2 linked regions of the Xenopus tropicalis genome follow. The protein of the gene in region 1 purifies or fractionates together with the protein of each later gene. This does not show direct contact. Links are inferred from orthologs where the notes say so. Each region holds a gene or a part of one and is shown on either strand. Other genes may lie near its edges.

Region 1 (4,568 bases):
AGAGCACCAACCACCAGAGCAAGCTCCACTGGAGTGCCAGTGGTTCTATTTATACTGTCTGTTCAGGTGAACTAATCAAACCCCACCTACCTCAAACCGAGGGTAATAAAGGAATGCAACTTCTGGCAAACCTGCTGTAAGCCTTATAGTTCACCAAACTTTGTAATTTAGCACCAAAAACAGCAAATACTTTTGAAAGAAATAAACACAACAGTTAAACAACACAATGATTTTGAATAAAGTTAAGAAAATATACTTATCCCTTTTTTTTTTTTAATTGATAAGCAAGTTGTTTCAACAAGCCTGTTAGTAACCCTATGTTCCACCCCTCATAAATACAGTGCTACCAAACTCAGAACTGTATATATAGGGGCAGATACAGGCCTCTGTTATCCTTTTTGGATTACAAAGACCTGCAGAAATAAAGTTAGTGTGCAGAGCGGGTTGCAGAATGCAAAAAATACGTCAGATTGCATTCTTTTTTGCATTTTGCATCCTACCTTACACATAGTTATTGCATAGCTCCCAGCTGTCCCGATTTTCGCGGGACATTTCTGATTTTAACAGCCCACAGTCCCGGATTCTTACTGAAAAGTCCCTCATTTCACTTTGATCTCCTGCACTGAATGCTAAAAAAGATACAACGTTTCTCAAACTTAAATAAGTAGCTTTTGGAAGAGAGCCCAGAAAGATTAACAAGCAACACCTGTACTTAGATACAATTGTAACTAATAAGCTAAATAGGTCTCTTGGGGGAACTGAGACTTACAGATTAAAGGGCAATGTAATAACACATTAAACAAGACCCTAAAACCTTTAAAAATGTGTTCAAACTTTAAATAACCTGCCAAATTTTGTAAAAATAGCATTGGCATTTAGGGGATGTGGTCACAAAAATGGGCATGGCCAAACATTTTTTGTCATGCTACGCCCTGCATTTCTTTTTGTCCCTCTTTAAATTTTTCAAATGTTGGGAGGAATGGAAAATGAACCCTAGTGATCCCTGCTTACAAAAGTAAAACAATAAATGATAAAAGTTCAGCGATAATTTCCTTTTGTGATACAGGCAGCTTCAAAATACTATATATTTTTTCATGAATTACTCCGTAGTTATCATTAGGCTTCATGCCGTATAACTAATCAAGAGTTAAATTACAGGCTCACCAGACAGGAACCCTCCACCCTCTCTGCTCAGAGTTCCTCCTGTGTAATTCCCCAGTTTCACTTTCACAAACTGGTTCTGTATTTCTGGAATACAGCAGAGGGCGGGTCTGACCGTACAGACTGGGACACTGCACATATAACTGCTTTTATATTTGATATTCTAAGGGCTTTCCTTTGATACTCCTAAAGAAGGCATCTGTTCTGCTGAGCTAGCACTCCAGGGACAATTGTTCTACGGACTAAAACAAACCCAAGGATTCGTAGCTGATATCATTTTGTAATTGCTGCCTTTGTATTGCAGTCTCTGCTGGAAAATGAGATTTCTGCTGCTTTTTCTGCTATTGCTTCTGAGCTGCAGCCACAAGGTAAGAGAAGATTGGAATACTAAAAACAAACCAAAATGAACTAAAATTGTTAGTCTCAGAAGTCAGAACAGTGTGTGTTTTTGTGAACTCTCTGTCAGTTATTCTCTTGCGCACAAAAGCAGAGTCACATCTTTCTACAGTCTGTGTTTTACTACTGTTTACTTTCACTTTGTACAAATAAGCATTATTAGTCTGGAATGGTGTTCCTACTACCACTATACGTTTTCCAGAACATAAGAGATAAAAAATGTGTAGGTTTTTATATTTGATAAATATGATCACTGTACATGGTGGTGGTTAGCTGAAACAGGAAAGTATTCTGCAGATCGCCCATGGGGAACAAAAAGATAGAATGGGGAACTATGAGAGTCTCTCTATAAACAGTTCCCTAAGACTACTAGCACACTAGCAAATATGGCATAAATACTGAAATCATCTGTGAAAAGTGCTGCTTCACAGAAAATACCATTAGTTTAAAGCATGCAGTGAAGGTATGTAAGCCTCTGGTTTTATATATCCTGAACACATACAGAGAGAAATAAAGCTCCCTTAATCGCCGATGGGATGGCATATGCGGCATATGCGCCGCGTATGATATCCCACCGGCGATTTACATTCTCGCCGGTGGGATGTCATATACAAGGGAGATTTGTTGTGGGCGACTAATCTCCCTGTGTGCCACAGCTCTAAAGGGTTTAATTTATCCTAAATGTAGTTTTAGTTTCAATCATTTTTATTGGGATTTTTTTAAACATTATAGCCAAATAAAGGCATTAAAACTAAATGTAGTTTTAAAGCTTCTGTAAACAGCAGTATTCTGAGACAATTAACAGATACACTTTTTATTTTATATCCTTATATGTTCTGCAGCTTTTAAGCTTGAAAATTTGATTGCTAGCTGTTTGCTAGGGATTAATTACAACAGCAACCAGGCAGCAACAGGAAATGAAAGATCAGTAAGCAAGGAACCAAACAGAAAGCTAAAGTAATAATAATAATAATAATAAAGTATAAGCCTTTTAGAGGGTCTGTTTTATGGTTGCCTGGGTTAGCAACAACCAGATAGCATTTGCAGTAGCAGACTGGAGAGAAACAAAATTGAAAAGCTAATAAAAATAAAGACTAATGTAAGTTTCATATATAAAATACAGCATTGGCCGGGCACATTCCCTTAAACAATATGTGGTTTATCTCAGAACTAATGAAGTTAATAGTAATGAAGAGGAAAGTGGTTAAAAAAATGAGGGGACAGACACTTATTTTAAAACAAGCAAAATTTAATCCTAAAAATATATTAAAAACAGTAGTAAAAAGAATGGTTTGGGTATGTGACTCCATAAAACACGGAAATAATTTGATTATAAGGGGTTGTGAAAAGAAAATGTGCCAATTTAGTTCTTTTCTTCAATGTATGCAACTGGGGAGTCAGATTTTCAGGACCCACTCTCTGGTGGCACAAATGAAGTGAGTGACCAATACACAATATGGTAAACACAGCATTTAGGCAGGTTTAATTCTGACAAACCTGCCTAAATTCCAGCATTTCTTTAAAGTGCTTTAATTATCTCTCTTTAAAGGACCAGCAACACAGAGTTTTTACAGTTTGCGGTCCTGGCATTGGACCTGGTTATTAAAAAAAACCCCCAATATGGGTTTCCCGAACTCTGCATGTGGTATGGGACTACATCTTTTACTTTTGTCATTCAGCCATTAGTTGTACCAGCTTTATAAATGAGGTAAGCCCCCTAACTATTGCTTTCCAGCAGTTATAGTGGTGAAAGCTTATTTCATATGTGTAAATAAAAACTCTGTTTGTAAAAAGAATTTTTTTTAAACACATTTAGCACTTATGGTTGTTTTTGGGTTGTATTTGAACACACAATTGCAAAATATCTAATACTTGTGTGTTAAATAAAGCCTAATGGCTAGAAATGTTGCTAATGTGGTGCCGTTATTTAAAAAGGGATCCCGTTCTCAGCCTGAAAACTATAGGCCTGTTAGTCTAACATCAGTAGTAGGAAAACCTTTGGAATGGGTAATAAGGGATAGGGTACTTGAATACATTGCAGTTCACAATACTATAAGTTTGTGCCATTATGGTTTTATGCGTAACAGATCTTGCCAGACTAATTTAGTCGCCTTTTATGAGGAGGTGAGTAGGAACCTCGATGCTGGAATGGCAGTTGATGTAATCTACTTGGACTTTGCTAAAGCATTTGATACTGTACCTCACAGAAGGTTTAATGATCAAATTGAGGAATATTGGCCTAGAACATAATATTTGTAATTGGATAGAGAACTGGCTGAAGGATAGATTACAAAGAGTGGTGGTAAATGGAACATTTTCTAATTGGACCAGTGTTGTTAGTGGAGTACCGCAGGGGTCAGTCCTTGGTCCTTTGCTTTTTAACTTGTTTATTAATGACCTGGAGGTGGGCATAGAGAGGACTGTTTCTATTTTTGCTGATGACACTAAATTGTGCAAAACTATAAGTTCCATGCAGGATGCTGCCGCTTTGCAGAGCAATTTGACAAAATTGGAAAACTGGGCAGCAAACTGGAAAATGAGGTTCAATGTTGATAAGTGCAAAGTGCATTTTGGTAGAAAATAATATAAACGCGAACTATCTACTGAATGGTAGTGTGTTGGGGGTATCCTTAATGGAGAAGGATCTAGGGGTTTTTGTAGATAACAAGTTGTCTAATTCCAGGCAGTGTCATTCTGTGGCTACTAAAGCAAATAAAGTGCCGTCTTGTATAAAAAAGGGCATTGACTCAAGGGATGAGAACATAATTTTGCCCCTTTATAGGTCCCTGGTAAGGCCTCACCTTGAGTATACAGTGCAGTTTTGGGCTAGAGTCCTTAAGAAGGATATTAATGAGCTGGAGAGAGTGCAGAGATGTGCAACTAAACTGGTTAAGGGGATGGAAGATTTAAACTATGAGGTTAGACTGTCGAAGTTGGGGTTGTTTCAATGCACCAGAGGTCACCCCTTTAGATTAGAGGAACGGAGCTTCCATTTGAAGCAGCATAGGTGG
Region 2 (3,821 bases), on another chromosome or scaffold:
GGTGGTGAGAAGGCAGAGTACAGAGATGCGCCAAGATTCACTGAAGGGACATTCTGAATAAAACTACAGCTGGGATACAACTTTTTGTGCTTTTCAAATGCATTGTCACCTTTCTTCCAATTATCAAGCATCAAGCCGCAGGTAAAGCACTTGACCTTGTCATCTTGCCCGGTGTAATAAAAACCAGCTTTTGCAAGGTTGCGCTCAGACACATGTGTATTGCTTGGAAAGGAGCTAAATGTAGAGAGACGGTAGAGTTCACATGAGAATTCCAAGGTAATTTTGCACATGCTTGGGTTTGACTTCAACCTCTTAGCAAGGTCTGGGCGTCTGTCCAAAATCTCATTTGCCATGGTTTGTGAAAGGGAAGGAAGGGGGCATCTTTCCTAGGGAGATAGTTACTATATTATCAGTTACGTTTCCTATTCTGCAACACAGTTCTAATAAAAACATGCAGTGAATGCAAAGATTTCAGTGCTACTGAACCACATCTAGTTAGCCAGCACAATCTTATGGTGGCATGCACACTGGGAGCTCTTACTTCTACCTACACTCTATTCTTTCTCTTATATACAATTCAGGTAGGATAGTAAAACGCTAGCTCTTCAGTGCTAAGATCTTTTTTAAGTTGATTGCTACATTTCATTGTAAGAAATACTCTATAATCCATTATGGCCATAAATGCTACGCTTTCTGTATTAACTATAACTAAAGTGGTGGTATTTAGTACCCCTAAGAAAGATGCCCCCTTCCTTTTGTAAGGGTTTAGCAAGCCATAGTATAATGTAAATAGCAGTAGAGAAAAACAAAATTCTTCTCCAGATCACCGCATTGGTCGGTGAGACATCAGCACCTAGAGGAGTGGGCAAAAGACTCTGAGTTAGTTACGTTTAACATATTTGTCCTATAAAAGGGTATTAATTAACAATGCTGGAATAACATATATTTGACAAATTATCAGATTTACAATCTCCAGCTCCAATCTAATTGTATTAGTGCCAACAGCTGCAATTCTTATTTAGGCAATTGCACATGGGGATTTGTGATCACAATTAAAAAGTCAATCTAAACACAAGTGTTCACGTGTTTAACCATGGGACTGTCAGCTGATGACAAATGTAAACAACACCCCAGCCTATCAGGGCTTTGTGCTACCCTCCTAGTGCCACGTGGAGAGACGCTGGGTCAGTCACCAACACAGGCCAGTAATGGTTTTCTGAGAAAGTCAGATAGTTTATTAATTGGATAGTAACATATTTCTAACAAATGTGGAAAAATGTCAATATCCCTTTACAAAGAAAGACTTTGACACTCGACTTTTTACATGCAACCACACCTTTTTTAACTTTTTTAACTTTTTTTTTTGACACACGGCAAACTTTTTCCACACCGAATTTCGCAAAAAAATCTGCCAATGGAAAAATGCAGTTCACCATAAATACATTTTCTGCAATGATATATTTAATCAGGACAGGACATATTTAATTACAGGTAAAGGTTATAACTAAAGGGTAATTTTTACCCCTGGTCCCACTATCAGTCAGAATACTCATAAACTAACTAGGAGCCCGTGCAGAGGCTCATAACTAACTAGCAGCCCGTGCAGAGGCTCATAGCTAACTAGCAGCCCGTGCAGAGGCTCATAGCTAACTAGCAGCCCGTGCAGAGGCTCATAGCTAACTAGCAGCCCGTGCAGAGGCTCATAGCTAACTAGCAGCCCGTGCAGAGGCTCATAGCTAACTAGCAGCCCATGCAGAGGCTCATAGCTAACTAGCAGCCCGTGCAGAGGCTCATAGCTAACTAGCAGCCCGTGCAGAGGCTCATAGCTAACTAGCAGCCCGTGCAGAGGCTCATAGCTAACTAGCAGCCCGTGCAGAGGCTCATAGCTAACTAGCAGCCCGTGCAGAGGCTCATAACTAACTAGAAGCCTGTGCAGAGGCTCATAACTAACTAGAAGCCTGTGCAGAGATCATTTAGGCTACAAGGTAATCTCATCCCTTATATTCCCAATATTAAAGGAGCAGTGAAACCCCCTTATCTGTTGAGGTGGAGGGGTTTACATCCAACTTTAGATACATTGTTAGAGCAATGCAGCCAGTCCCCTGGCTTGGGGAAAGGCACAGTGTACAAATCACATATGCATTTTGTGCATTCTCTCTAGCTATAAATTTTACCGTTTGGGTCAACGTCCCCTTTAACAGGCAGCCCATGGTGTGCTGCCAATAAACAGGAGTGACACTGCCATAAGAAACACAGCTGTCTCCCCCCCCAGAGAAAAGAGTTTTAGGCATGATGATAAAATCTAATATGTCTCCCCTCTCAGTGCAGAACTCAAGCACAACTTTACATTGCAGATTTCCTATGGGGCCCCAGAAGGGAAAGCCTGCAAACGCCTATCACGAAAGGAATGTGCTGCTGCAATAGCAAAAACAAGATCCCAAGCTCCTACGACCCACCCTACTCTGTTCCATACTCTGCCCGTAGAAATGGCTCAGGTTTTATAAACATACACGAGGCGATTTCGCTCGTTGTGCGATGAACGATTATATCGACAAACGATCGTATGGCGATCGAGTTCCCATACGATATGCCATCCACGGGCAACGATAATTCGGGAAAGATTTTGTCGCATCATTATCGTAAAATACCTACGATCGTACATCTACGTACGATCGAATGTCGTTGACTTCCGCTGCTGGCAATCGTGACATGCGCAGAGAACAATCGTTGAAAGACAAATGTCTGACACTCACACCAACTGGCAGATTTTATCGTTAAACGACCAAAATTTTTAAACCTGGCCGATCGATTTTGGGGACGATAATGTCGGCTCGTTTAGTGGGCCGACGATCGTTCGTACACCACCAACTATACGATAACTTAACGATAGCATCGGATCGTTCGCGAATCGGTCGTTTGTAAGTAAAAAATCGGTCCGTGTATGGCCACCTTTAGGGTGAACACACACTGGGCTACTAGTAGCAGCTACTTTTTCAAGGCTACTAAACTCCAGAAAATCCCCTGCCACAGACAATACTGAGAATTGCCTCTGCTAAAACTCACGTAAAGACAATTATCAGAGTTCAACCCAGATCCTGACAACCCACTCACAGCATTACATGGGAACCTAATTGGTTCATTGGAAGCACTCCGTAATGCACCGTATAGGAAAAAGAGGGACATAATACCTCTTCCAGAAGTACTTACTACCCCAATGACAGCATGGGCTAAATTGATAAAGCAAAACAGAGTAAACATCAAGGGTCATTCACTACAAATGCCACTATGGAATAATACTAACTTACAACACTTTAAGGAATTGCCTGATTTCCAATACTGGCCAGCCAATGGGGTAAAATGGCTCTCGGATGTGCTAATTAATGGTATCTTTGTCCAATTCAATATACTCAAAGAGAAATTGGAGAAGCCAAACTTGCAGTTTTATAGATACCTTCAATTAAGGCACGTATTCAAAGCGCAATTTGGTTCACTAACAATTGACACGAGCTCAACCCCATGGGAAATAAGACTCTGGGATCCGGGAGGGAAGAAACTCCTCTCCCAACTGTACAAAGTTATACTGAAAGTAACACCCTCCCCATTTGATAAAGCTAAAATGAAATGGAACCAGATACTCCCACAACTAAACGAGGAGCAATGGGAAGAAGCAACGGACCACATATACGATTTTCTCATAGCCACTAGAGATAGAGTTATACAATTCAAATTCTACCACCAAGTATATATCACCCCAACCAGACTTAAAGCTATGGGCAGATCACCAAATGCAGAATGTCCTAAATGTCACAATGTCAACGCAG

Evidence for each region.
Region 2: the proteins of cd40 (region 1) and birc2 purify together in Homo sapiens (affinity purification with western blotting; 4 studies listed by BioGRID and IntAct, with this or other methods). This does not show direct contact. The link is inferred for Xenopus tropicalis from reciprocal best matches to the Homo sapiens genes CD40 and BIRC2.

Annotation. Positions count from the first base shown.
Region 1 is NC_030686.2:20,127,538-20,132,105, forward strand, and holds the start of cd40 (tumor necrosis factor receptor superfamily member 5 precursor), read left to right. Parts: upstream 1-1,478; coding exon 1,479-1,529; intron 1,530-4,568.
Region 2 is NC_030678.2:162,212,418-162,216,238, forward strand, and holds part of birc2 (baculoviral IAP repeat-containing protein 2), read right to left. Parts: intron 854-3,821; 5' UTR 354-853; coding exon 1-353. UniProt on the Homo sapiens protein: Multi-functional protein which regulates not only caspases and apoptosis, but also modulates inflammatory signaling and immunity, mitogenic kinase signaling, and cell proliferation, as well as cell invasion and metastasis.